4 linked regions of the Astyanax mexicanus genome follow. Each later gene encodes a partner of the first gene's protein in a complex. Links are inferred from orthologs where the notes say so. Each region holds a gene or a part of one and is shown on either strand. Other genes may lie near its edges.

The links.
Region 2: ccnc (region 1) and med31 share a complex: the UniProt entries of both Homo sapiens proteins name them as parts of the mediator complex. The link is inferred for Astyanax mexicanus from reciprocal best matches to the Homo sapiens genes CCNC and MED31.
Region 3: ccnc (region 1) and med20 share a complex: the UniProt entries of both Homo sapiens proteins name them as parts of the mediator complex. The link is inferred for Astyanax mexicanus from reciprocal best matches to the Homo sapiens genes CCNC and MED20.
Region 4: the proteins of ccnc (region 1) and med12 are in contact, whole or in part, in a cryo-EM structure (PDB 8TQC), measured with the Homo sapiens proteins. The link is inferred for Astyanax mexicanus from reciprocal best matches to the Homo sapiens genes CCNC and MED12. Residues at the interface, in NP_005181.2 of Homo sapiens: Gly3, Asn4, Phe5, Trp6, Gln7, Tyr11, Ile15, Asp17, Gln19, Asp20, Lys23, Gln49, Glu53, Leu57, Arg58, Gln59, Ile62, Tyr153, Arg157, Pro158, Gln161, Tyr162, Asp165, Leu173, Pro174, Trp177, Arg178, Ile179, Asn181, Asp182; in NP_005111.2 of Homo sapiens: Ile6, Leu7, Ser8, Tyr9, Glu10, Pro13, Leu14, Lys15, Arg18, Leu19, Pro22, Asp23, Val24, Tyr25, Asn47, Pro49, Ala50, Val51, Asp54, Glu55, His56, Gly57, Ser58, Ala59, Lys60, Phe64, Pro66, Ile69, Asn72, Phe73.

The regions. Positions count from the first base shown.
Region 1 is NC_064409.1:30,314,786-30,322,102, reverse strand, and holds the start of ccnc (cyclin-C), read left to right. Parts: upstream 1-4,310; 5' UTR 4,311-4,456; coding exon 4,457-4,488; intron 4,489-6,127; coding exon 6,128-6,234; intron 6,235-6,427; coding exon 6,428-6,512; intron 6,513-7,317. Other genes in the region: ngs (notochord granular surface), read right to left, coding at 24-143, 248-397, 491-650, 1,093-1,286. UniProt on the Homo sapiens protein: Component of the Mediator complex, a coactivator involved in regulated gene transcription of nearly all RNA polymerase II-dependent genes.
Region 2 is NC_064424.1:13,288,077-13,295,393, reverse strand, and holds the start of med31 (mediator of RNA polymerase II transcription subunit 31), read left to right. Parts: upstream 1-4,298; 5' UTR 4,299-4,462; coding exon 4,463-4,484; intron 4,485-5,348; coding exon 5,349-5,423; intron 5,424-7,317. Other genes in the region: slc13a5a (solute carrier family 13 member 5a), read left to right, coding at 811-936. UniProt on the Homo sapiens protein: Component of the Mediator complex, a coactivator involved in the regulated transcription of nearly all RNA polymerase II-dependent genes.
Region 3 is NC_064431.1:31,841,678-31,849,647, forward strand, and holds the start of med20 (mediator of RNA polymerase II transcription subunit 20), read left to right. Parts: upstream 1-4,970; 5' UTR 4,971-5,077; intron 5,078-5,194; 5' UTR 5,195-5,251; coding exon 5,252-5,265; intron 5,266-6,728; coding exon 6,729-6,874; intron 6,875-7,970. Other genes in the region: bysl (bystin), read right to left, coding at 179-312, 1,024-1,162, 2,301-2,457, 3,779-4,040. UniProt on the Homo sapiens protein: Component of the Mediator complex, a coactivator involved in the regulated transcription of nearly all RNA polymerase II-dependent genes.
Region 4 is NC_064409.1:69,523,037-69,530,095, forward strand, and holds the start of med12 (mediator of RNA polymerase II transcription subunit 12), read left to right. Parts: upstream 1-4,057; 5' UTR 4,058-4,171; coding exon 4,172-4,270; intron 4,271-7,059. UniProt on the Homo sapiens protein: Component of the Mediator complex, a coactivator involved in the regulated transcription of nearly all RNA polymerase II-dependent genes.

The sequences.
Region 1 (7,317 bases):
AGTGAAAAAGTAAAGCCTAATACCGGCTTGAAAGATTCAATCTCCAGTTCAACTCGTTTTCTGGATTCCAGAGCCTCCTCGTATTTGACCTTTATCATTTCCAGTTGCCCTGCCATGGCTTGCTTGGCAGCAATGGCAAGGTCCTTAAAAAGGATAATACTGAATTAGGATAGGTACATTCCTTTGGTGTACTTAAGAACTTAAGGTTTAAAGTCAAGATTTAAACATTAAAATTTCGCTCTCTCACCCTCTGAACCTTCATCTGATCAGCAATCCTTCTCAGCTCTCGCAGCTGGTCTTCATACATCATGCGCAGGCCTGAAGGCTTCACAAAACGGCCCTTCAATGTGTCAATTTCAGTCTCCAGCAATTTATTCTGTTGCTCCAGAGAACGGACCTTTAAACCAAGTAAACCTATATCAGTTCTTGTTGTTTCACTGAAAATGTCTTATATGTCAAAATAAAATGAAAGACAGCATTTGTGTTGTACCTTCTCTATGTACACAGCCAGGCGGTCATTGAGGGTGACCATCTCCTGTCTCTCAATTGTACGTGTGCTCAGGAAGGCCTGGTTGGCAGCAGCCGCAGCTTCCAGATCTAGACCTGATCCAAGACCCATGCCAACACACAGAGCGCCCATACTTACACTGCTGAAAAAAAAAAAGAGTACACACAAGACAAATTCAGCATAGCAAGGGGGAATTACTGGCCCAAAAGCTCTTACATACACAGAGAGTACTGGAGAGGAATAGAGAGAAAAAGGTCTGTGCATGTTCTAAACTGGTGTGTGAAAGTGCTAAACATTCTGTCATTAATTCTTATGAGGAAACAATGCACAATACAATGAACTCTTTTATCTGATTCTTTCATAAAGCATAAAACTTTGCTATTAGTTATTTTATTGAGACAAATTTGGTGTTTACTCTTTAGAGAAGTCATATTTTTGGTTAAAAGCAAACGCACAAATTTCAATGCATTCCTATGGAGGAGTTTTGTAGTTGAATGTGAGTTTATATTTAAACAATTGCGGTCAGGGTTAACCGGATAGAAAATATAAAAAGTATTGAACTGTAAAATACCAAACAACTTTACCTGGTCATGCGTGGAGTGCGTGTACCAGAAAGTGCACGTCGGCTGGTGCGTGCACGGCTGTAGCTGGCGGAGCGCCGAGTCTCGCGGCGCACTGGAGACGGGCTGGAGACTCGGATGTGGCAGGAGGAAGATGAGGCCAGCGCGCCCTCAAAGTGGCGGCGGTAGGAGGACATTCTCTCTGGGCTTCTGCTCATACTGAGACCAGCAGGGATTCTTCTACAAGACTAAAGCAGCACTGCAGCTTCTCATCAATACTGGGGTTTATATACAGACCCTCTGATGGACCCAGCCCACCATGGAATGTTGAACCTCAGTCTGAGATCATGCAGAAGACCCCAAACATCTCACAGCCAGCTGACAAGAACCTCCAGTGGCAAAAATAGAGAAGTGAACACTATTACACCCTGAACTGTTCACACGCAGTACCTACTATCAGAACCCCTCTTCTGTTTTTCATATACACTAAATACCCCTGCTGATAAAAGACAGCCTGGCTATCTAAACTGCTTAGGATGGTTAATCAAATCAGCTCTTGCCTTGCATAAAGCATAAAGCTATCTCACATAGTGAGGAAGTGGAAGCCAATAGGATCAGTTCTAGTTAAGGCCCAAAGTGGCAGGCCAAGAAAAATCTCAGATAAGCAGTGGAGAAGGATGGTGAGAACAGTCATAGTCATCCCACAGACCAGCTCCAAATACCTACAACATCATCTTACTGCAGATTGTGTCACTGTGCATCGTTTAATTATTTAGCGCACTTTGCACAAGGAGAGGCTGTATGGGAGAGTAATGCAGAAGAAGCCTTTTCTGAGCACACGCCACAAACAGAGTCACTTCAGGTATGCTAAAGCAAATTGTTGGTATAAGGTTGGTATAAGGTGCTATGGACTGATGAAACTAAATTGAGTTATTTGGAGAGTGGTATGCATGGCGGAAAAAGAACACAAAAACTTGCTACCCACAGTAAAATTTGTTGGCGGTTCATCATGCTTTGGGACTGTGTGGCCAGTGCAGATATTGTTAAAGTTAAGGGTTGCATGGATTTCAGTCAATATCAGCAGATTCTTAAGAACAATGTTTAAGAATCCGTGACAAAGTTGAAGGTGCGTCAGGGCTGGATACTTTAACAAGACAACGACCTTAAACACTGCTCAACATCAAGTAAAGCATTCATGCAGAGTAACAAGTGCATAGTTTTGGAATGACCATCACAATCCCCAGACCTAAATATTATTGAAAATCTGTGGTTTGATTTAAAGCGGGCTGTTTATGCTCTGAAACCATCAAACATGACTGAACTGGAGATGTTTTGTAAAGAGATCCAAAATGCAAAAATACCTTCAATCAGAAGCCAGACTTTCATTAGAAGCTATAGGAAGCATTTAGAGGCTGTTATTTTTGCAAAAGGTACTAAATATTGATTTATTTTTTTTTGTTGGGGTGCCCAAATTTTTGCACCTGCCTAATTTTGTTTAAAACATTTTGCACACTTTCTGTAATTCCTTTAAACTTAACCCTTTCATGCATAGAGATCACTACAGTGTACAGCTGTTTAAAATTGTTTTTTCTTTAAATATGCTTGCAATTTTGGGCACTGCTGCATATAGTCCACTGTAGTGGAAGCTATTGCATCATCCTATACAAAAAAAATCCCATTGGTTGGTCATTGTAATGGGAAAAAGAAGTCAATGAAATCAAGATGGCCGGCAGACAGGGAAAACCACCAAACACCTTGGCTATTTTTGTTTCTACCTTTTATAAAATTATATCACTGCAGGTAAAAAATATATAATTACATCAAGTAACATCTAAGGTGACATATTATGTAAAGATTTTCGAAATTTTGATTTTATATTTGAGGGAATTGTAGATTAATCATCTGTCCACTTAATTGTACATCATGCATCATTAGCTATTTTTCAACTTTTATGCAATGTCAATTACTTCCAGTGTTGTTTTTAAAATAATTCATATTGTTTAATGTTTTGGCTGTAAATCAACTTCTTTAATTGAGGAATGTCTGCCAGTACAGACAGTTGCAAGCAGAGAAGTAGGGTCAAGCAGTGATAGTGAAGGTGAGTCTGGAAATGTTACTGAGGGAGTTGAGGCTGAGGAACGGAGATGAAGGAGATGAGGCTGTTGAAACTAAGGGCACCCCAATATCCAGTATGCCCCTGGAAACCACTGGCCCCAGCTCAAGAGAGTATAAAATGCCAGCACACGAAGAACCAAGTACATCTGCATGCAGTGTCTTGTAGCTTTGTGCCCTGTATGCTTTGGCAACCATCATAGAAAATAGTCTCAGAAATTAGCAACAAGCATGATTTGACAGGAAATATGATACATGCTATAAACTACTATAAGAGAATATGCTCACTTAACAGTCCAGAGACTTGACAAGAATACAGTATGATAATACCAGTCACAATCAAGATTCTATAAGGTTCTACAGTTCAGAGACATTTTCTTGTGTCACAATATCCTCCTCAGTTCCACTATTCCAACAGAATACCATATTACAACTGTATAACTGAATTACATTTGTGTTTTTTTTACAACAAAAAATGCATGAAGTACACTTGAGTGGACAGATAAATATTTCTTTATCGAATAAAGATAGAATATATATTTTTTTCAAACCTTGTTTTACATCCCTAAGGATGTATAAAAACACTTAGAAAAATCCTGACTGAGTTTATTATAATTCATGCATGAGAGGGTTAATTTCACTTCTCAAATATCACTGTGATAGCAATTTATACCATTTTTCTTTTGAAACCACAATTTATCATTTAGTTTGGAGATTCCCACAGCTACACCACCTCCTTTAGATTTTCTATCAATTCTATAAAGGCTACATCAGCATAATTAATGGTGTGCTTAATCCAAGTTTATGTTAATTCTGTATTTTTTTTCCAACAAACATCTAAAATTATTTTAATGCCTTTCTGTCTTTAAAAAACCAACAGAATCCTTTATATAGTCTATGAAAAGCTTTGGTTGGGAATACACAGGCTTAGGTAGAGGATCAATGTAAATTAGATTGTTTTTGCTTATGAAAACATTAACATGTTCTCTTATACTTTTACTTTAAAAAGCTGGTCCTTGGTTTAAAACCAGTAACTACCAGGATATCTAAGGAACAGTCACTAGTAAAGCACTATGTGCTCTACTCCTCTTAAGCAGGTTTTCCGGAACCAGGATTAAGACCTTGTTGTTTCTGGCCGGACTGTATCTCGGCGGACGCAGGAGAAAGGGGGGTTGATTTTCAGTTGCTCCACTGGTTTTAGTAGACACTTGAAAACTGGCGATTCAACCGGTTTAAATTCAGTTAAGATCATATTTCCTACTTCAGCTCGAGCACAATGGCTGGAAACTTCTGGCAGAGTTCACACTAGTAGGTGTTTTAGGCTTTTCTTATTTTCTTTATTGTTGTTTCTGTTCTGTGTTTCACGTCGCTAGCTAAAATAGCTAAGCGGCTAATGCTAACGGCACTAATGTGTTCTAAGCTTTGTTTTATGTGTTTTTAGATATTAATATGTCTGCAATATGTATAAAAATATGTATAAAAGTGTGCAGCCTGTAAATAAGAGTGGGCAGCCCAATCCAAAATCGTTGTTAATTGAACAGAAAGCTGATTCCTGCTGTGTTTTTCAGTGAGCTAACTCTAGCTAACGGTAGTTAGCAAAAGCAGTTAGCATTAGCTAGCCAGTGTGGTTAGCTTTACTATAGCTGTGTGTTTAGTTACTGTCTGAGCCTGTAACTCCCTTCATTAAGAGACAGCAGTGAGGACAGCTGATAGAATAGAAAAGCTGTAGAATAAAGGCAATGTGTTGAGCCTGCGCTCGTCTTGCTGTCGGTTAATGTTATCATTCAGGACACTTGCAGTAACTTTTCTGTAATTTCGTGTTATTTTGGGCTAATTGGTAGGAACCTAGTTAACTAACACATATTGAAGAAAGAAAACATTAAAGTATGCCATTAGACAGTGGGCGTTTTAAATCGTGGTGCTCAATTTCTTATCTTCTTTTTATTTTGCAGATTGCTATTTTACAGATTTACAGATGCTAAAGATTTCGTACTATGTATATGTATACTGTACAGAAAACATTCATAATAATAACAACATTCAAAACTGATATGTTATAAAATGAAATGGAAGCACAGCATAAGGACATATGCACTTCAAACAGAATTATTTTCACTATGAATGTGGATTGGGAGATTTGGGATGATGGGACTTCTTTGTATCATCAGTAGAATAAATATCCTTAAGCCTCTAATGTCGTGTTTTTTTAAACTGCAAAGCATTTTGGGGTGGTACACCAGATGATTTTAAAACATTTAATGCATGCACTAAAAATTAATGATTAGAATTTATTTTTTTTTTATTTCTAATAGTTCTAGTTCTAGTAGTTAGTGTAGTAGAGGTGTTAGGAGAGTAAGTGCTCTTTATAGAGCTCTGGCTTCAGGAGTTTATTAAAGATAGCGAGAGATTCTCCTGATCTGGTAGTGGAAGGCAGATTGTTTCACCTTTGTTTACCCTGATAGACCCTGCATATAAGCTTACACTTCAGTTTCTCACAGCAATTAGTTATCCTAAGTTTTAAGGGTGCTATGTAGACAATACGGGACACAGTTAGAGTTACAATAAAATAAACCAGAATAAATACGTTGTCATAATGTAAAACCATGCTGTATTTGTAAAAATATGACTTAAACAGGTTACTTTCAATCAATAATAACAGGGGAGTCTTGTGTTCCCGGGCTTAAACAAAACAGGCCTACTTGGAAATACTAATTCCAGGTTTGCAGTACATAAATTTAGCCCTAAATTTTCTGCTTGCCATACATTCAATATCTAAGTTGTTTCTGTCGTTTTCTGTTGCTCATTCAATATTGGTTTCTTTGATTAATCATTCTGAGAAAGGAATGTAGCACTAAGACTAGTAGCAGTCTGGTGTTCTGGAAATACTTAAATTGTTTTTAATGTTGTACATTACTGATTAAAAGTATAATTTTGTCTTTGTTATTAGCTTACAGTGGGTGCTGGATAAGCAGGACCTGTTGAAAGAACGTCAGAAAGACCTGAAGTTTCTCACAGAGGAGGAGTACTGGAAGCTGCAGATATTTTTTGCAAATGGTATAGAACAATGTATTGTTGAAATATATTTTTTTATTTATTTTTTTCTCAGAACCAGCAAGCTTTTTATATTATCCATCCCCTTTTCTCTCAAACTGTGTTAAACCTACTTTTGTAGATTTTGTTAGCCCTGTCTAAATAATGATGGTGTCTGAACTGAGATATATGTTGAAAAAGCCTTGTTTTCTGTCAGTGATCCAGGCCTTAGGGGAACACTTGAAACTTAGGCAGCAGGTCATCGCCACCGCAACTGTGTACTTTAAACGCTTTTATGCAAGGTGAGACCATCCCCACAATTACATGTACACATTCTTGAGTAATTCCATGCTGAAAAATAAAAGTACTGCAACAATAACAACAAAAAAACCTATTGTAAGGAAAGAAAATAGTGTTTTTATATACGCCTTTAAGTTAAATCACAGAATGTGGTGAATAACATTTTATATGTGCATATAAGGTTTTTTTTTTTTTTTTTTTTTTTTTTTTTTTTTAATAAAAACCTGTATTTGGTTTGTATAGTTGATTGTTTTGGCATGAATTTCACCAAGGACAAGAACAAACCATCCCTGCCCAAGGAAACTGCACCAAGCACAGGCAAAACTGTATATAAAGGACTAGTTCCTATATGTTTCTGTTTATATGTATGCCAGCATGTGAAGACAGTAAACTGCAGTGAGTATCCAAAACTTCCTGGACTTATAATATGTGAACACATCTCCTGAAAACACTTTAAGTAATAAAAGCTGCCATTACACGTTACTATCCAAAATGTCAAGAAAGATCAGTGTGCAAGTTGTAGATCTATCTAAATGGATCAAATGTACCTTTCTCAGGGCAATAACAACTTGTACCTTGTTTTACTTTTTACATGATTACAGATTAGATGATATAATCTCATTAGCAAGGCAAAAATCTACTCTTGGTGTGCGTATTGGTGTGACATATTAATGTCAGTTGAGTTGCAAAATATGTGGTGTCTGGTCTTTGATAGCGCTCCTGTCCTTACTGTTGCTCAATTTGGAAGAAATGTTTTAAAATAATTTTAGAATCATTAAAAAAAAATTCAATAGTTCTGTAACCCTT
Region 2 (7,317 bases), on another chromosome or scaffold:
AATAACATAGCTATTTGTCTACTGCTATGTACCGTGATTACATTTGGGTGCGCATTTCCATGGTGATCCACCTAAACACAACAGTGAGTGCAAACGGAGGAGCTACTGAACGCAATGTCACATGACCGAGAAAGCCAAAAAAAACTCACTGGTCCTCCTGTTTTTTCAATTGCAGTCCGGATGCAGGAGTTTTATCACTGAGTAGAAGTGTAAAATATTTTTCACAGACATGCCCCTGAGAAACTTATCCCGTCTGGATAGGGCTTTACAATAAAAATTCCTTTAAATGTGGTCAGTATTTCTTGTTAGTTTATGTGGTTAGTGGTGTTTGTTAGCTCTGCTGAGTTGCTATGTTAATACTCGCTGTACTGGGTTAATGTACTCTCGAAAGGGATAGTGGAGTTAAATGTTTTGGAGCTGGGTTTAACAGTGGCTTTAATGCATGTCTGCAACCATGCCAATGCTTCTCGCAAGGAACTTCAGTATCCTGTGACAGAGGAGTCTCGCAAAGATCTGCTGTAATCCTTCATTTGGGAATATAATCTGATCCAGACACTATAGGAAGTGTGTTGACTGCAATAAAGCAAATGTGTAAAGCAGTTTATTGCGACTAATTTAAAAAACAGCCATCAGCATAAGAAGACAACTCTTTTTTTTGCCATTGTTGCCTCTTTGTTTCTGTTTTTGCTATTTTACAATTTTTGGGGGTTATTATTTTTGACTGCCAGTGTATTTTTACTCTTGATCTTTTTACTTTTGATACATTTGATCTTTTATAAATGTGGTATTAAACTGCGTTTCCCTCCTCAGGCCAGGACAGGTATTGTGATGAACATCATTGGTATCCTGTGCATCACCCTGGCGATAAACAGTTGGGGCAGACCTCTGTTTGGCTTGGACTCCTTTCCCAGTTGGGCTAACACCACAGGGGTGTGAGAGACTGGACACAGCACACAGCCAGCACAACAGATTACTCACACACCAACAGCAGCCCCCTCGACTGCACTTAAAGCTAAGAAGCTGAGGGTGGCGCCTTCATCACACCTCTGACGGGTGTCACTGGAGGAGCCAGCACATCCTTACCTGCTCTTATACACTGTGACAGTGTGTCATACACATACTTTATCAGTACAGATGTAATATATAATCTGTGTACAGCAACTACCTTATATAAATATGATGGTGATGGCAATAATTTTTTACATTTCATTTATTACATAAAACCTTATGAAGGATACTCATGGAAACCGGTGAGACTGAGAATCATATTTGTATACAATAAAATATTTTTCTATTTATCTTTAAACATGTATATGCATAAATATATATGAATACTGTTTGTTTTGATTAGATAGGACAGCTCAGGACGGCTCTTTATATTACAGCCTTTGGCCATGTGACGTTACATATAAATTTGAATATGTTTCACATGGTAGTCTCGACTTATATTAAATCAAATGTGATGGAATGTTTGTAATATTAAAAAAGTTTAATATTTTTTGTGTCTTCCTGTGTTCTTATTTTAAATCTTATGCAGACAGAGAAACAAAAGATCTACAGTGGAATTCAATGTAAGACGTTTTTATATGAAGTACATTTTGGAACAATTCTGTATCAAACCCTCAAACAGCCCAGCATCAAAAACCGTCATTCAACAATAGCTGATAGAACCATGTAGACAAGAGATTACTTTACAGTAATGTTTACATTCACAAATGACACGCAGAAATTTACTATTCAATGCAGAATCACAACAGGTGGATCATCACACAGTGGAATCATGTTTTGTGGTCAAATAAGTCAGTAATCCACATATTTATTGGAAGAAATGGTTGCTGTGAGCTCTGATTCAAAAATGAAAAGAATCAATCAGACTATTATCATTATCAAATCCAAAAGTCATGGTCTATCACAGTATGGGGTTGTGTCAGTGCATTTTTGTGATGCAGCATTAATGCAGAAAAGTACGCTAAGTTCTTAGTGCAACCTTTAAAACAACATTTTTTCAAGGCACGACCAAAACTACATGCTGCACACATTACACGAATCTAAAACAAAAAAGAAAAATGACAAAGACTCCATACTGTTGTTGCACATTGTAAGACGTGTCTGCAGGAAGTATAGGACAAAATAACACCTGAAACAATTTTATAGCTTGTTATCATCAGTGACTAGAAAAAGAAATGGCAACATGACAAGGTAGGAACGTGTTGCAGGAATGGATGTATATTAATAAATTAATTGATGTTAACCAGTTAAATCATGAAAAATATTGAGTGCACATTGTCTGCAATTAAACAAAAGTAAATGTAAGACAATTTTGTTTTGTTTTTTTATTATTTGCATTTTCCGTACTGTTCCAAGTGTTTCTGATTTGGGGTTGTATATAAAACACCTGTTAAATTAAAATTGTCAAAAAGTGAGAAGATTTTTGTATGACAGAAATAAAAACAATTGTATGTTACAGCAATTCAAGTTTATTTAATAATATATTCTTTATTATAATCACTGTGTAGAGCTACAGTACCAGTCACGGCGGTGCTGCCCTCTACTGGTCATATTTTAGAATATGCCAACAGATTTTTTTTTTGTTTGAAACAGATACGTTTCATTCAAGTATGAGTAGAATAAATCAAGGACTTACTTTAAACATATAATAAACATGATTTTTGTAACACTACTAGAACATGTTTTTGTTTTAAGTCAGGGTCCAGGTGAATACATGTACATTACAGATAATATAAGTTTATACTATAGACTATGTTTATTTTTCTCTATAACTTTAAGAATTTAATTAGGCAAGGTGCGCGCTTTTACGCACGGGGCGTGCTTTTACGCATGGAATGCACTTTTACGCACGGAATGCGCTTTTACGCACGTAACACGCTTTTACGCATGAAATGCGCTTTACGCACGGGATGCGCTTTTACGCACAGGACGCGTTTTTACGCGCGGAATGCGTTTTTACGCACGGAATGTGTGCTTTTACGCACAGAATGCACTTTTATGCACAGGGCGCGTTTTTACGCACGGAATGCGTGCTTTTACTCATGGAATGCGCTTTTACGCACAGGACGCGTTTTTACGCACAGAATGCACTTTTACGCACAGGACGCGTTTTTACGCACGGAATGCGTGCTTTTACGCATGGAATGCGCTTTTACGCACAGGACGCGTTTTTACGCACAGGACGCGTTTTTACGCACGGTACGTGCTTTTATGCACAGGACGCGTTTTTACGCACGGAATGCGTTTTTACGCACGGTACGTGCTTTTATGCACGGAACGCGTTTTTACGCACGGTACGTGCTTTTATGCACAGGATGCGCTTTTACGCATGGCGTGCCATTTCATATTCAGTAATAAATACTCTTTTCATCTATTTATGCTGTAACGTGTTGATACTGTTTGGTGCTTTTCCAGCAACAAGCAACACTGCTAATGTGGAGAGTTTTACATTACCCAAGCTCTCTTACACTCTTAAATACATCAGTGTAACAGTGGAGAATCCAACCATTTATAAACTATATGTTTCAGTTAACTAATCTGTTTTATACATCATCCCTGTGATGGTAGAAACACTTCAAAACACCAACTTTACATGAGAAAAAATGCTCTTAACTTTCAATAGAAGTCACTATAAAATGACACTTGCAGATCCAGAAGAACATATTTGGAGTACATGGAGATGCACAAAAGGACACTTGGAGCACTAATGAAGCTAGTGCTGTAGCTGCCAAGACGTCTACAGCCCAATGCTAGCGGTTTTGAGTTACTTGCGTCTTCAGGCAACATGTTGTCTACCAATAAAATACCTTTTAGGAAACAGTGTGCACCGGGGAGCATTTTTTAGGATTACTAATACAGAGGCTATAAAAAAGGCTATGTGTGCAACTCTGAACTTATCAGACTCGAGATTAAAGCTTTTAAGCTTTAATTATAAACATTTTGTACGCGTTCTCATTTTGAACTGTATCTCCAGCATCAGCTCACCAACCAATCAGCTCAGAGTAGCAGTAAAAAACATTTCTTGAAGAAAAACTAAAATATAAAGGTAAATTGTATCTGCTGTTTTATTACAATAATTTATTATTCTTTATAAAATGAAATGAATATCACAGATAAATAGTTAATTACTATTTTTAATTTGAGTTTTAGCTGTTTAGCTTCATTAACCCCCATTCATTGAGGACTCCCTTAAGGGCTCCCTCTAGCGGTTCTCAGTGATATACAGATATAAAGGGGGTATAGTGTGAGTGGGCGGGCTCTGGCTCTGACCATACCGTCATCACGTTCCTTCCCGGAACTTACGTAGGAGGAATATGGCGCTGGGCTAGACAACACAAAACGGCTTTCAGCGCATAATTATATTATTATTTCAGTAAATCCGGTTTGTTTGTAGCTGTTATTCGCATTTAAGCGGTTTAGTTAAGTCGTTGTTGTTTTAGTTTGTCTGTGTGAGATGGCTGGAGTCCTGGAAACAGGTTTGTATAACAGCTTTTCCAGCAGCAACTTCTTTATTTAGCTCGGTTAGCTTTAGCTACCTAGCCTTAGCTTGCTTATTTTGCCTTTAACCCTCAGTGGCTTAAGTTTATATATACAGCTCTGGAAATATTTAAGAGACCACTACAGTTTCTGAGTCAGTTTCTCTGATTTTGCTATTTATAGGTAACTTATATGTTTAAGTAAAATTTAACATTGTTGTTTTATTCTATACACTACGGACAACATTTCTCCCAAATTGTAAATATAAATATTGCCATTTAGAGCATTTATTTGCAGAAAATTTGAAATGGCTGAAATAACAAAAAAGATGCAGAGCTTTCAGACCTCAAATAATGCGAAGAAAACAAGTTCACACCTATAAAGTGTTAAGAGTTCAGAAATCTATATTTGGTGGAATAACGCTGGTATTTAATTAAAGTTTTCATGCATCTTGGCATATTCTACTCCACTAGTCTTACACACTGCTTTTGGGTAACCTTGTGCCACTCCTGGTGCAAAAAAATCAGATCAATTCAGTTTAACTTTGATGGCAAGTATATCTTATAAGGCTGCAACTAGCAATTTTTTAGGTATTTGATACATTTGATTAGCCGATTAGACCGAGCTGACTGTAAATTAAGTGCCCTTACCCACAGTGCTTTTCCCCCCCAGCACTTTGTGTACACCATGGCAGTTACACATTTACAAATAATCAACACTAACATTTTAAGTTGACAGACTGGGGAATAGAACCTCACAGGTTTTAATGTTTTCTGTAAGAATATTTTGAAAGTCTGATAGCTAGCTGGTCACTGTTATCAATATTCATGATAACGTTCTCTAAACTCTTTCTTTCCATACAGAGGAGCAAGCAAGAAACCGCTTTCAGTCAGAACTGGAGTTTGTTCAATGTCTGGCCAACCCAAATTATCTTAACTGTAAGTTACATTTCTGTTAATGTCTATTTTTATTGAAGGTACTTGCTTTAGTAATGGGTTTAGCTATAGTTTGTGGACACCCTTTTAATTAATGCATTAAAGTACTATAAGTTGCACACATTAGGATGTTGAAATCCTAATAAATACACACACTTATGGAGCTACAGTACAATTCCTGTAGAAAATGATTGCCAGTAGAATAGAACTCCCTGGAGTCTTAAATTAGGGGATGGCAGGAAAGCTTACTTGTTTCTTTACTGCTCACACTGTCTCAGAAGGCAGTGTAGTGGTAAAGATCTCTGTGATGCAGTTAGGGTTGCAACGGTATGAGATTTTCACGGTATGATAACCGTCTCAGAAAATACCGCGGGATAACGGTTATCACGGTATCACAGTTTGTTACATATATTATTAAACTGACCCTTAAAGAAATGACAACAAAGGTTTTTTGTTCAATTAACTATTTATTGTATAAACTACATCATCAGGTGAAAGAAACCAGGGCAGTGTATATATAAAAAAAGTTGGTATATAACCAGATACTGCAGAAAGAGGGGATTTATATCTGACATGATCCTCACATTAGATATTTCTATTTTAAGGCTTTCACACCTTAAAACCTTCAACATATGAAAAACAGTCACGTCAGAATTTGAAAATGAACGCATGTAAATGAATGGCGTCTTTCACATCCAGTCCGGCCAGGACCTTTACACGGACACGTGAATCCATCGTAGCACGCACTTCACGCCTGTACCTGCGTGCCCAAATTTCGGATAACTCAGCGCTTTTGCGGGCGCTTACCGCATGGGTTGTGCACGACTACAAAGAGGTTTTATTTAGGTTCAGATTAAAATTATAAACTAAACACATACTTTGCGCTGCACAGCGGGGTGGTGTTCTCGGAGATGGGAGAACAGGTGTATTTCCTCCTTTAGCTGTGACTTTACGGCCACATTGATTACAAGCTTGTTGATTACAAGATTACAAGTCTGTTTTCGGGCTGTTTGAATGAGCGAAATATGATCAGAATTATGTTAATTAACACTAACATAGAAGCATAGAACTATTATTTAATTAAAATGATTTTTAAGAACAGCTAAACACAGTGCGGAGAAGTTCACGTGCGAGAGAGAGACACAGAGAGAGAGAGAGAGAGAGAGAGAGACACAAGAGAGAGAGAGAGATTTGCGTGTTCTTGTATGAGCTACTCACAGGTAAAGGTTCTCTTTGATCTCCTCGTGCTCATATTTTAGTCCCATACATAATTCTGCAGTTTCTCAGTGTTTTCTGTCGTATTTTGCGGCTAGCGCGAGCGCTAACAACTAACACCGCGGACCGCGAGGTGCCGCCGCGCTGCCGCTGTTATGCCGAATCCGACTCCCTGCTGAATCCGACTCCCGCTTCGCGGACAGAATCGGCACAACACCTCCCGCTGTAGAACTGCGGGAGTGAAAACAGCGCTTATAAATAAGTTAGTTAAGTTTCACTTTCAGTTTTCATTATTTGGTTCGTTTTCATTAACAATATTAATTGGTTACTTAGCAACATTGTGATTATCACACCAGAGCTTTATTTAAAAATAAAATATATGATTAAAAAACAGATGCCTACATCTCAGACTATTTTCTGGAGCCCAACCCGACCCAGCCTGAGGAATGTGGTGGGAAATATCGGCCCAGGTCTGGTTCGGGCAGAGAATCTAAGAGAATCTAAGCTCTAGTCTGATGCACTTTCTGCCATTCTCACCGCTGTGTGCTGAGTAGCTGAAGCGGAGCAGAGTTGCGCATGCGCGGGTGAGTTTCTCCGCTGGCTTGCGTTTTACCGGTAATAAGCAAACACACACGGTATGATAACCGTGCATTTTAATACCACGGTATACCGTGAAACCGGT
Region 3 (7,970 bases), on another chromosome or scaffold:
TTGATTTTACCAATTATAATCAAGAGGAAGATGGACGATCACAAGCCATCAAACCAAGCTGAACTGCTTGAATTTTTGCATATCTGCCTCTGCAGCATCCTGGGGTGCGTTATCTTGTTTCTCAGTGAGCATATATGTATATGAAATTGTGAACCAGGCTGCTTCTAAATTAACTCACCGTGTGGCCTGGTACATGGCGGCAGCCGTCCACTTCTCCGGATCTGTGAGGTAAAGCACCTGCTCCCAGTTTGAGAGCGCTGGGATGATTTTAAAGGCTTTGGGCAGCTTCCCACTGCGATACCTACAAAGAACCTGAAACAAAAGAACAAATATCGATCATAGATAAATCAGTGATCAAAATAAACTGAAATACAGCATGTTTTAGAGCTGCACAAAATATCATTTTATATACAAGCTCATTAAATCACACCATAGTACATGCAATTTTCCTAAAAGCTTTTCGCTGCTTGATACAAAGAAAAATCAAATTTTACGTGACTATATCCACTATATTAACAATTACATCTACCCAATACCATTTTTTGACTCCAATCACTGATACACATATTGTACTATTAATATTATGGCATTTTAGATTATTGACTTAATTCACTGACACTGAAATTTGGATAAAATTCCTGATACTCATTGCAACAAATATTGTACAACAAAATTTCACAATGTCAGGTTTTTACCCCCATATCATGCAGACCTAGTATGTATTACAAGAGTAATAAACTTAATTAATTTATCCTGAAGCTCATAAAAAAAAATCTCTAGTAAAGTGGCCAGATAGAAGCAGCACAAGGTAGGTGTGTCTAATAAAGTGGAAAATAGGTGTTTCTGATTAAGTGGTCAATGAGAGAAAGCACAAAAAAGGGGTTGCCAATAAAGTGGCAAAAGAATGTAGGCACAAAACTGGGGTTTCTAATAAAATGGCCAATGAGTGGAGGCACAAAAGTAGGTGTTTCTAATAAATTGGCCAGTAGGTGGATGCAAAAGGTAGGTGTTGCTCAGTCTCACCTTACTGACTCCTCTGTACACTTCAATCACCCTGGGGTCCAGCTGTGGATTGGGCATCCCCGACACCTCCGACATCACAGTGCCCACCTCCGTCTGCTTCTCTGTTAACTTCTCCATGATTATATCGGCTAGAGTGCGCCTTTACAAAAAAAAAATAAATACATTAAAAATAATTTTTACTATAAACATTGATATTTCTCTTTAAAATGAAGTTTGTGAACATGTTCAAACAAATATATACCAGCAAAATACAGTCCTATATTTAAACAAATCCAAATACATAAAGTAAAAATAAGATCAATTCAAATCAAATAGTTTTGCATATGTACAGGACTTTTAGAGGATTGAAATTACGTTACTCTCCTTCCCAAAAATTACAGCAAGATAAAAAAATATATAAATATAAAAATGAAAGACACTAAACGTACAATACGACATGGACACAGAGAGACATACACGAGACAAGAGACACAAGACAATAGTGCAATAGTGATGGGGGGATTAAAAGGAAATGACAGCACTGTGTTGTAAACAGAACAGAACCTGTATAAACATCAGTGCAAATAAAAGTGCACTAAATACTTTCACTAAACATTATGTTATTTATCTTTCAAGTGAATATGTTTGGAAAAATATATATACCAGCACAGTGCCATGTTGAAAAAAAAGTTAAATACATTAAGTAAAAATAAGATAAACTAATAATATGTTTAATTAGAGAGAATGATTTTTGTTGTGCTTGTTGCAACAATATATTTGCATGGAAACAACCAAAAAGTATGATGTTTTTTCCAACATCCATAAGGATACGCGTGCCTATGCTTTATATTGTGTGGTGTGGCATAGGGATGGGACTAAATATTGATCAGAGATATAATTGCATCTTTTTTGTTTGCAACTACTTGAATTTCTTGTCTCTTAATGTGTTTGAGAGCATCAGTTGTAAAGTAGTGAAGAGGTAGAGTTACAGGTATACAGTGAATAACTCTATTTGAGTACTGTTCTAATCCAGATTATGAGAAGCAAGAAATACTCAACTAAGTAAAAAGAAAAAATACTTTATGACTAAGAAATTAAGTCAATCTAAAAAATTTCAAGAACTTTGAAAGTATCCTTTAGCGCAGCCGCACATCAAAGCGATATGATGAAACTAGTACTCAACAGGACTGCCCCAGGAAAGAAAGAGCAAGAGTACATTATTAATAAGAAGAGCCACACTGCCCTATAGTGGAGCAGCCACCTTGCACTGTTACCCTTGTTGTCCAGGTGTTCTTTACCTCACTGGTGGGTTTTTGTTCATGAACATCTGTATGGCTTTTTCATCATCCGGATCCACCTCCACCTCAGCAACCGCCCCCACCTCATGATCCTCTGTTCCCATGGCACCCAGCTCTGGCCATTCCTCATCAGAGTCTCCATCCTGAGTATGTGGACCTGCAAACAACACATACTGTTAATAATGATAACAGCAATCTATAATGATTTCAATAACATAAAATAATCAGATTTATAACTTTACAACTAGGGCCATATCATATCACAGGCAATAATATTGCCAACATTTTCAAATACAGTTAACGATATTATACCCTGAAATATTGTACCATATCACTCACCACTAATTATCACATTAGGGTACTACTTTTTTTTTTTGCTGTTTTTAGCAAAAGAAAAATTCACACTGTTCTCATTTTACATTATATATCTACTAGAATCACTTGAAGACGGCAAGAAATTAAAGTTATTTTCCAAGATGTGTAGAGCTGTCATCAAAGCAAGAGGAGATACTTTGAAGAATGTAAAATATATAAAACATATTCTGGTTTGTTTAACACTTTTGTGTTTTTCTGCACAGTTTGGAAGACTTTATTATTAAATTACATTGGGGAACATTTTTGAAATAATGAAAAGAAAAAAATAACACTGAATTTAAGGTGACCACAACAGAGCACTTAGCTTGTGTGGTGGGTGGTTACTCGCAGTAATAGCACTGATTAGCATGGTGGTGGTGTATGAGGTGTTAGTGTGTGCTGAGCTGGTACAGTAAGTTGATCAGATACAGTAGTGCTGCTGATGGTTTTAAACACCGTGTTTAATCTCTCACTATCCTCCACTCTATTACACACTCCTACCTACAGCTGATTAGGGCTGCAACGATTAGTCAATATCATTGACAATGACGATTTTTAAAAATTTGTCGGCTCCAAATTTTCGATGTCGACTAATCGTCAATTAGTAGCACTACACAAATTACTGGGGACAAACACAATGTTAGAAGGGTAACTGGGTCTCCAAAAGAGCCCAATCACAACAGATTTCACATTTCCTCACTAAAGATCAGCACCTTCCATATTCAAAAGACAATGTTCTGGATATGTAAAGGGCATTTAAATCCCATGTTTAGCTGTTTTCTATCGTTTTGAACCAATAGTGAAAGCTAGAAACAGAAGCTCTACCAACAGCAAGCAGAGGGGAAGGCAGAAATAATCATTGACTAATCGAATAATCTGAAAAATATTCAGAAGATTAGTTAAATATTAAAATAATCATTAGTTGCAGCCCTACAGCTGCTCCACCTTACAGATAATGTAAAATTAGAGACAAAATATCTGAATTTGTTGCTGCACAGTTTATTTTTTTGTTATTCTTAATCCAGCAGTGACACTGAGGTGTTTAAAAACTCAAGCAGCACTGCTGTCTCTGGTGGTGGTCTATCATGTGATAATATTAATGTATACACGTTTATTTAACTTGCCCAGAACAGTAGAAGGTTTCTTCTTGGCCTCTGGTGTGACTCCGAACTCAGTCTGCAGCTCTTCTTGCTGAATCCGAGCCTGCTCCAGAATCCTCCTGGAGAGCTTCTCGTCCACATAGTCCTCCTCCTCCTGTTTTCTGCCCCGGTTTTTGACCCGGCTGTTGGTTCTGATGGTGTCGGACTGAAGCAGCTGATCGGCCAGGGCTACAGAACCTCCGGCCCGGTCCGGTCCACCACCTTTATCCCTCTTTACCTTCGGCATGGCGACAGACTGCTCAGATATAAATGGAGTTTTAAGTTCTACCAAAACCCTCTGTCGCACACACGTGGGTTTCCCTCAACGCTAATGGAGGTGAGGTAACGCAGGGGGTGCTCTGCCGAAAACTGACAACGCCGAAAACTGCACCCGTAGGACCCTTCGGTGGCTGGTTAGATGTGCCTGATGTAAAAGCGATTTTTTTTTTTTACAAATCTTAATTCTTTTGGTAACATATAGGGTCTCATGCTGTATTAAAATGAAATTTACACAGCTTTATTAGCTAACCACATCAATCATTTTATTTACTACATAACGTGCATTTATAATTTTTTTCTTTTAAATAGTTAATACATAATGTATGTTTTTTTTTTTTTTTACTATATTAATATTATATAATTTTTTTCAGTTTTTGATCACTTTTATACCATTTAAGTCATAATTATATTTTGTACTATTTAAGGACAGGCTGAGATTTATTATTATTATTTTTTTTCAAATTAATAATTTTAATAATAATTTTAGTGTGCAATTTTAGTTTGTTGTATATATTAATGCGTGTATAAAATTGACATTAGACGACTTTAGAATGACATATACACAATTATATTACATAAATGATTTTATTTGCTACATAGCGTGCATTTAGATATTTTTCTCTTTTTAATAATGTATTTATTATTATTTCCATTTTTACAGACCAATTGTTAGTCGTTAACTATTTTTTTTATAATATACATGTTTTTTTTTCGAGGAAAGACTAAAAAGATCATATTCGCCAATACAAATATTAGATTAAAAACTAAACAGAATTATATGTTTTCTTGATCATGTATATTTACATTTACAAAAGTATCTTGTCTTTCCTTTTTGTTTTATGTTGTGTTAATGTTTGTCTTTATAAAATGTTAATAAACTTTTCCAAAAAAAGGTCATTCTAATCAGGCGGTGTGACCGGAAACCAGTGAGTGCAGATTGAGTTGGAATACAGATTAGTATGCAGCACCTCCTTTTAAATATCGACGTTTATTTAATTTCTCCAGGTAATAATAGTTTTAATGTGCGAAAACATTTTGTTGTATATATTGATGCATGTATATGAAATTTAAAATTGTAAAAGTTGACATTAGACGACTTTAGAAAGACTTTTATTTTGTCAGTATCCGGATGAAGTCTGGCTGGGTGTTTTGAAGCTGTTGTGGCCGCGCTGTGCAGAGATGGGAGTTACCTGGTAAGAAGAATAAATGAATAAAAGAGTTCAGTTTGGCGATTTTTACTGGTTTCCCGAGATATAAAGAGTATTAATATATTTGTAACTGACATGTGGAGATTTTCTGTAGATCAGGGTTTTTCTCTTTATGCTGCCTTTGTGATCTAAACCAAAAACTGCTGTTCATGAACCAATATTTGGTGGAATAACCCTGTTTTTAATCACAGTTTTCATGCATCTTGGCATCATGTTCTCCTCCACCAGTCTTACACACTGCTTTTGGATAACTTTTTGCCTTTACTCCTGGTGCGAAAATTCAAGCAAGTTCAGTTTGGTGGTTTGATGGTTTGTGATCATCCATCTTCCTCTTGATTATATTCCAGAGGTTTTCAATTTGCTAAAATCAAAGAAAATCATCATCATAAAGTGGTCTCTTATTTTTTACAGAACTGTGTATATTTTTGAAATTACTAAAATATATATATTACATTACATTACATTTGGCAGACGCTTTTGTCCAAAGCGACTTACAATAGTCAAGTACAATGTAAAATAAGTTTCAAGGTAAAACATCTTTGGATAGGGATAAAAGGAGGACACAGGGGAATAATAGGATAGAGGAGTGAAGGAGAGGAAGAAGGAAATGAGGTTAGAAGTAGTTAGTGTGTTAGAGGTGTTAAGAGAGTAAGTGCTCTTTGAAGAGCTCTGTCTTCAGGAGTTTATTAAAGATAGTGAGAGATTCTCCTGATCTGGTAGTGGAAGGTAGTTAGTTAGAGGTGTTAGGAGAGTAAGTGCTCTTTGAAGAGCTCTGTCTTCAGGAGTTTCTTAAAGATAGCGAGAGATTCTCCTGATCTGGTAGTGGAAGGTAGTTTGTTCCACCATTGGGGAACTCTGTATGAGAACAGTCTGGATTGCTTTGTGTGAGTTTTTGGCAAAGCGAGGCGACGTTCACTGGAGGAGCGCAGCGGCCGGGAGGTAGCGTAAGCCTTCAGGAGCGAGTGCAGGTAGGAAGGAGCCTGTTCTGTCACCGCCTTGTAGGCGATTGTAAGAGCTTTGAATTTGATGCGAGCATCAACTGGTAGCCAATGGAGCTCAATGAGCAGCGGGGTGACATGTGCCCGTTTTGGCTGGTTGAAGACCAGACGTGCTGCTGCGTTCTGGATCATCTGGAGATATATATCATCTGGATCATCTGGAGATATATATATATATATATATATATATATATATATATATATATATATATATATATATATATATATATATATATATATATATATATATATATACTCCCCTACTTAAATAAATACACCCCTACTTAAAATGCACTGAAATAAGTAAGTTTAACTAGTTCCCTAGTGTCCCTGATTATTTCTCAGCTTTTTAATTATGTAATAAGTAGTGTGCAATAGAGCAGGACTACTTTTTATACTTTGTACAGTAGCATACCTGTATTCCAGTGTGTGTGTGTGTATGCGCTGTAGTGTGTGTCAGGTGCCGGTGGCGGAGGGGAAGAGTGTGCAGCAGACGGTGGATCAGCTGCATAAGAAGCTGGAGCAGCTGGGAGGAGTGAAGCAGGGCAGCTTCTTTGTGGACTGTGAGACGTATCACACCACAGGGAACGCCAGCGGTAAATACACTGTATATAAAATACCACCATAAACATAAAAAGTACTAACCCTTTGTTGAATAGCCTACCTCCACTCTCCCATAGCTTTCTGAGATACATTAATTTTGTGCTTTTTGCCCAGCACTCTTCACAACGGCTGCTTTGGGGCATCCACTTACCGACTGGTAATTTGCTTTTAACACCGTTATCCAGCTCAAAGTAGCTCCACATCTCATTGCTAGAATCTGAAGAGCTCTAACGTTTAAAACAAGGCATTAAGAGCTTTAAAAATGCACAAGAATCTTGTTAAAAACCTAAGCCCGAAGCTTCCTGTGCACTTTTTAAATTTCTAAATGCCTCGTTTTAAATGTCAGGGCTCTCCGGAGTCTAACAATGAGGTGTGGAGCTACTTTGAGCTGGATAACGGTGTAAAACTTATTTATCTGCAGGGGCAATGGATGCCCTGAAGCGCACGTTATAAAGAGTGCTGGGAAAAAGCACAAAATTACTGGATCAAGGAAAGCTGCAGGAGAGCGGAGGTGGCCTATTCAACTAAGGTTAGTACTCTTTATCATGTTTTACTACACTAAAACTAAATGTTACCTCAATTTGACCAAGATTGAGGTTAAATCCCTTCAGTCTTCAGTGCCATGCGGCACTTTAGGGGCCGTAGGAAAAATACCGGGCAAAATGAGTAAGAAATAACTCTATTTAACTTTCACAAAATGTGACCTTGTGATACAAAATCAGTGGCAAAATATGTGTACATTTTTTCGTATTTTACCATTGATTTGACAACGAGGCCACATTTTGAGTAAAGTTAAAGGAGAAATCTGGTTTGAAATGGACTTGGGGTGAAGTGAAACATGATGTTCACATTTCACACTTAACATTTAAATAGAGTTATTCACTGCTCATTTTGTCCAGTATTTCCCTTTTCCCTTCTACTGCACTTAGTAAAATAAAAAAGTGAATTTCAGTAAAGATTGTTAAATGAAAAAGGAAAGACTAAGGCTTTAGCTTGTTGTTTTTCATCATTTGAAGAGCCCCTGCTTACAGGCAAATAATGATATATGTAACACATAATTATATATATAACGTGTGTGTGTGTGTATGT
Region 4 (7,059 bases), about 39 Mb from region 1:
ATTTACCCATAATGATAAAAAGATTAACTTAATTTGAAATGTCTCTATTTAAGTTGCACATATGATAACTTGTCATTATAAATAAAATTAGGTATATCTGTATTTTTAATTTACAACCAATTACAGATGTCAGACCAAAAAAGCTTACTATAATAACATTTAACAAATAAATGTTCTATTGATTATCTCTCTCCAGAGAAAATAGTGCAGGGGCTCATCTGAAATTTGAATATATATATTAGGTCATTAACTGGGTACACTGCTGTTACAATTTTAGCTTTGGGAGTAATAGGACATGATGAATAAAAACAAAAAGCTTGTCGTTTCATATATTCTCCCGTGAATAGCATGAGTTAAAGTCATCAAAAATACATTGTTTAAACAACTTACTTATTAGTCTAATTAGTATTTTTTTTAATCCAAAAGGTTGATATCACCAACCTTTATAGTAGAAAAGGAAGGTGCAACAGGGAAGGATTTAATACTATTTTGAACCAGCTGAAGTAAGGGAATAGGAACTGCTTTACAAATGTATCATACCCCTTGCTGGAGACAATTTTATACATTTCAGTACATTTTTCCATGGATAAAATGACCACCTGAATTTGATATGTTGAGAACAAAAGTTGTCGGCTCTAATGCTGCCGTATTACGACTTTATTCTCAAATTATTACGACTTTATTCTCCTAATATTAGACTTTACTCTTGCAGTGAACTGTTTTGATGCCCTAATGTCTTTTGTTGCTGTGTTTTCCAGTGCAGTGGGCGGAGCTAAGGTAAACTACCACGGTAAAGTTAGTTTCATTTTTGATATTCGACTTTTCGGCTCTAATAACTTCTGAACGGAGGATGGTAGCCAGCAGATACTTACATAATCAGGACAGTACGACCACAGAGAGTGACGCACACCCTTCCTTTTACTGTTTGGGTGAAATTTGCGCAACGCCCTTTTAGCGTTAATACCGAAAAACTAAGCGCACTTTTCCTGTCAGAATAAAATGCATGTACTTCTAGACCACCTCTACTTCTGTACACACTCATTTATTTACCTCCAAATCACTTCAGTGCATAAAAATGCCTATTAATGTTCCCACATAAGAATAGATGGCTTTAAGAAAAAAAAACACCAATAGCTCCATATCCTTAGGGTTCATACACATCAGAATAACGGGGATGTATACTTTGAGTCATGAGGAAAATTGCACACCCATTAATATTATGCAAAATGCTCTAATTTTTTATTATATTTTATATATTCACAAATTCAATAGCATTTCAGCAACTGTGTATGTCACAGCTAGGTGGCAGCAGACACGCACACCATTTATATTTTGGATACAGTGCCAATTCTAGTGAATATTACATTTTATATATTTGAAAAATCAATAGAATTTAAACCGAATTACACAGAACACTAAAAATAAGTGTGTATGATACAGCTAGGTGTCAGGAAACACAAACAATCTTTGAAATTTGGATACATTGCCAATTCTACTAATTATTAAATTATATACATTTTAAAATGTAATAGCTTTCAAACCGAATTACACAGAACAATAAAAACAAGTGTGTATGATACAGCTAGGTGGCAACAAACACACACACGCTTTATATTTATGATACACTGCCAATTCTACGAATGATTAAATTTTATATATTTTAAAATGTAGTAGCTTTCAAACCAAATCACACAGAATAATAAAAACAAGTGTGTATGATACAGCTAGGTGGCAGCAGACACACACACCATTTATATTTTGGATACAGTGCCAATTCTAGTGAATATTACATTTTATATATTTTAAAATTCAATAGCTTTTACACCAAATCACACAGAACAATAAAAACTAGTGTGTATGATACAGCTAGGTGGCAACAAACACACACACACACTTTAAAATTTGGATACATTGCCAATTCTATTAATTATTAAATTTTATATATTTTAAAATGCAATAGCTTTCAAACCGAATTACACAGAACAATAAAAACAAGTGTGTATGATACAGCTAGGTGGAAACAAACACACACACACTCTTTAAAATTTGGATACATTGCCAATTCTATTAATTATTAAATTTTATATATTTTAAAATTCAATAGCTTTACACCAAATCACACAGAACAATAAAACTAGTGTGTATGATACAGCTAGCTGTAGCATACACACTTGTTTTTATTATTCTGTGTAATTGAGTTTAAAAGCTATTGAATTTTAAAATATATATATAATTTAATAATATGTAGAATTGGCACTGTATCATAAATATAAAGCATGTGTGTTTGTTGCCACCTAACTCTATCATACACACTTATTTTTAGTGTTCTGTGTAATTCGGTTTAAATTCTATTGATTTTTTAAATATATAAAATGTGATATTCACTAGAATTGGCACTGTATCCAAAATATAAATGGTGTGTGTGTCTGCTGCCACCTAGCTGTATCATACACACTTGTTTTTATTATTCTGTGTGATTCGGTTTGAAAGCTACTACATTTTAAAATATATAAAATTTAATAATTCGTAGAATTGGCAGTGTATCATAAATATAAAGCATGTGTGTGTTTGTTGCCACCTAACTCTATCATACACACTTGTTTTTATTGTTCTGTGTAATTCGGTTTGAAAGCTATTACATTTTAAAATGTATATAATTTAATAATTAGTAGAATTGGCAATGTATCCAAATTTCAAAGATTGCGTGTGTTTCCTGACACCTAGCTGTATCATACTTATTTTTAGTGTTCTGTGTAATTCGGTTTAAATTCTATTGATTTTTTAAATATATAAAATGTAATATTCACTAGAATTGGCACTGTATCCAAAATATAAATGATGTGCGTGTCTGCTGCCACCTAGCTGTGACATACACAGTTGCTGAAATGCTATTGAATTTGTGAATATATAAAATATAATAAAAATTTTGAGCATTTTGCATAATATTAATGGGTGTGCAATTTTCCTCATGACTCAAAGTATACATCCCCGTTATTCTGATGTGTATGAACCCTAAGGATATGGAGCTATTGGTGTTTTTTTTTTTCTTAAAGCCATCTATTCTTATGTGGGAACATTAATAGGCATTTTTATGCACTGAAGTGATTTGGAGGTAAATAAATGAGTGTGTACAGAAGTAGAGGTGGTCTAGAAGTACATGCATTTTATTCTGACAGGAAAAGTGCGCTTAGTTTTTCGGTATTAACGCTAAAAGGGCGTTGCGCAAATTTCACCCAAACAGTAAAAGGAAGGGTGTGCGTCACTCTCTGTGGTCGTACTGTCCTGATTATGTAAGTATCTGCTGGCTACCATCCTCCGTTCAGAAGTTATTAGAGCCGAAAAGTCGAATATCAAAAATGAAACTAACTTTACCGTGGTTCAAAAACTGTGCAACAAAACATGATATATCTTTAAAAAATATATATCTTTTGTAATATAAGATATCTTTGTAATGGACGCAGGGTCTGAAAGGGTTACATTTACAATGTAGAAAATTACAAAAAAAGAAAGAAAGACTTTTGACTGGTACTATAGTTTACTATAGGTATACTAGTAAACTATTTTTGTGGTGTTCTGTCGAGTTGTGCTACCTTGTCAAACCTTGCTACCATAGTAGTATTTAAGGTAAAAAAAAGCACCAAATTAAACCATACTAGAGAATACTCCCAGCTGATAGGTAGGATAGATAGGTAGGATAGCTGATAGGTAGGATAGACGTGGTAGGCTAAATCACTGTATCAGGCAGGGTTAAAAAATAAAGTAATTTACGTGATTAGAACCCTATTTTTTTGTTTTATAGCTTATGATTATTTTTTTACTTACCGTTAATATTTTTTTACTGCTATTAAAAGTTTTAAAACATTAAATCAAGTTGTTTAATACTCCCAATAAAAACGTAATGAATTACATTACAAAAAAAATGAAAAATGTCCGTAAAAAAAGCACATATCTATGGATAGCATAACTCGACACAACACCCGGCTTTTAAACCTTCCGATTTAAATCCATATCAGGGTCTTTTAATTTGCCGGGTGTTTTCCCACAGTTCCGCTGGCTGTTGATTGGAGCGGGGCAGGGAGCGGAGCGTCGCTGGCTGTAAGCCGCTGTCGGGTATCGCTCGGTCGGATCGGGGACGGACGGACTCGGCCCGGGCTGCTATGCGGCTGGGACCATGGCGGCCTTCGGGATGTTGAGTTACGAGCACCGGCCCCTGAAGCGACCCAGACTCGGCCCTCCCGACGTTTATCCCCAGGACCCGAAGCAGAAAGAGGTCAGAGCCCGTCTTTACACACAGAGTCAGTCCACAAAGAGCCGGAGCGCTAGCCGGAGAGCTACGCTAACCTAGCTAACCGAGCACCACCAAACCCCCGGGCCTTCAGCAGCGCCCGCTAACCCGCAACAATACCGGCCTAACCGGGCTAAACCCGACCCGCCCGGTCCGCCACAGAGCCCGGCAGCAGGCTGAGATATAGCCCTGCCTGTGTAGCAGCGCTGTGTTCACTTTATATAAATAAAAACACGAACTGGACAATAATAAACTGCTCAGAAACAGAGCTGCTAACTTACTGCAATCCTGAGCGTTTTCCTACTCAACCCCCATCCAAATAAAATACCGAGGAAAAGAGATTAATATAAGGAGATTTGGGTGTTTCAGAAACGGCTAAAGTGCTTAAAATTATTAGGAAATTGACGTTAAAAACGAAATTTAATTCTGTGTCAGTTAACGCTGGCTGAGCTATCTGGGTTAGCTCGTTAGCTGAAATCTGTCGGCTGCTGTTTGTTGACAAGTCGTATCTAGGTTAGCTAACAGCTAGCTAACAGTAACTTGCTCACTGGCTATCTAACATAATTGATCTAATTTACACAAAGCTAAGCTAACATGCTTATATTATGTTTTTATATCGAAAACAACCGTAAACACAACGTTATATAAATCATATAATCCAAAGTTAGCACGCAGAGTGTGCAGTGGTAATATAACATTCCAGCAGGAACACCAAAAAATGCAAGTTGGTCTCGTTAAGTTTCCGTTTGTCTTCACTATATCCAGTGCTTCTAATTTGGCACTGTGCTGCTAAGCCTAAATGTTTGGTTAACCTAGACAAGTTTGCATTTTATTGGTGCAGCTTGAATCTCTAGGAGACCATCTTTAATGTGTCTGATTATCACATTAAAATCATGTCCAATTCATTCCTATATCTCGTATTCTTAAAGCCTATTGTGCCATTTTACAGAGATGGAGATGTAGCTAGCTAAGAAACAATACAGAAAATAAACATAGCGTTATATATATATCATATAATCCAAAATAATCCAAAGTAATAACTCACTACAGTTTAGAAATATACAACAAAATACAGTTATACAATCCCAGCAGGAATACCAACAAATGCAATTTGATCTCAGTAAGTTTTTATTTGTTTATTTATTCAATACTTCAAATTCGGCACTTTGCTGCTGAGCCTAAATGTTGGGTTGAGTTTCCATTTTTGGAGATCTTTGCCAGTGTTCTATTGGTGTGCAGATTGAATGGGTCTGATTATCACATTAAAAGTCAAGTCCATTTGATTCCTTTACCGGTCTTATAGCCTAACTAATGTGCACAGAGCAACAGAGATTTAGATTTAGGAAAAAAGAAGTGAAAGAAAAGAAACCTATAAAGCATAAGTGTTATAACATTTATTATTTTTAGTTTTATTTTTAAATTTTACATTTTTTTTAACTGAACTCTTTTTAATTCTATGTATTTTTTTATTGTCATTTTTTCCTTAATGTAATACTTGTTAACAGATTGTGATTGTTAAGTGTCAGAGGTGTTGCTCTCACCAAGTCAAGTTTGATCTTGTTCAGTTTCTGTTTTTTTGGAGATATGTGCTGGTGGTCTGTTGGTGTGCAGCTTTGAAGTGTCTGTGTGATCATGTATCTAACTAGCTTCTTGACTAACTGGATAATTATATAGGTTATATTACATTTATTATTTCAAACCATTTGTGTAGTTATGCAGTACTTCTTATCTGGCATTGTGCTGCGTGCTGAGGGTTAAATGTGCAAAACTTTTGAACATGCATTCATGCTGGTGGTGTGTTGATGCTTTAGTGCATCCATTAAGTTAATAGTTAAGTCTATTTTATTTACTGAGATTCAGATGTTGACAAACAATATTTTAAATGTGTTATCCAGAGTAAACAACCCAAAATGAGCAGTGGTAATGAACAACTCCCTTCAAGATGCATAAACACTAGGAATGCTGCGAAATTATTTATTTTGCATGTAACTGAACATAATGGAAACATGATCAAATAAAATGTTGTTTCAAAAATATTTATTGAACACTGAACAGTTTTGACATGTCATATTAAATTGACTTGTGTGATCAGATAGGTCTATGCATTGGTAATAAATACCCATCTAAAATCATTATCGAACATGAAAGACACTATAGACATTTTAGGTTAGTTTGTCTAATTGTGTGTATGACTAATGTGTTTGTTGACAAGTTGTGGCTACCTGACTACCTTTTTGCCTACTGTGCTATACTACACTACTGGTATTATTACTATTATTTGACACACAGTATGTTTGTTCATGCAGTACTACTAAATTTAAGGGCTTCTGAATGCAAATACTGTGTTAAATATGCTTATTTTTTGGAAATACATGACAGTGGTCTGTTGGTATGCATCTTGAATAATTGTATACCCTCACAATCTTAAGTGTGACTGTGGTGTCACTCTGAAAGTCAAATATTTTTTTTTGTAAAGCTCCTTTTGCAATTTAATATTCCTATGAAGTGGCTTCTCAGAGATTCACGTTTAAAACGACAGAATGAAGACCAAATGTGGAAGTGGTTAGGAATAGCTCCCTAAAAACTGCATAAATACCAAGACATTTTAGACCCATTATACATGTTTTATACGACAAAACGTTTTAAGATCTGTAGGTGGTCTGGATTGGAGTCTGGAAGACCATCCTGAGAGTCTTTCATGCTTACCTTGTTTGTTCCAGAGTTTTCAGTTTGGTTTGAAAGCAGATGTGAAAGGGGCTGCGAACCACAGTCCA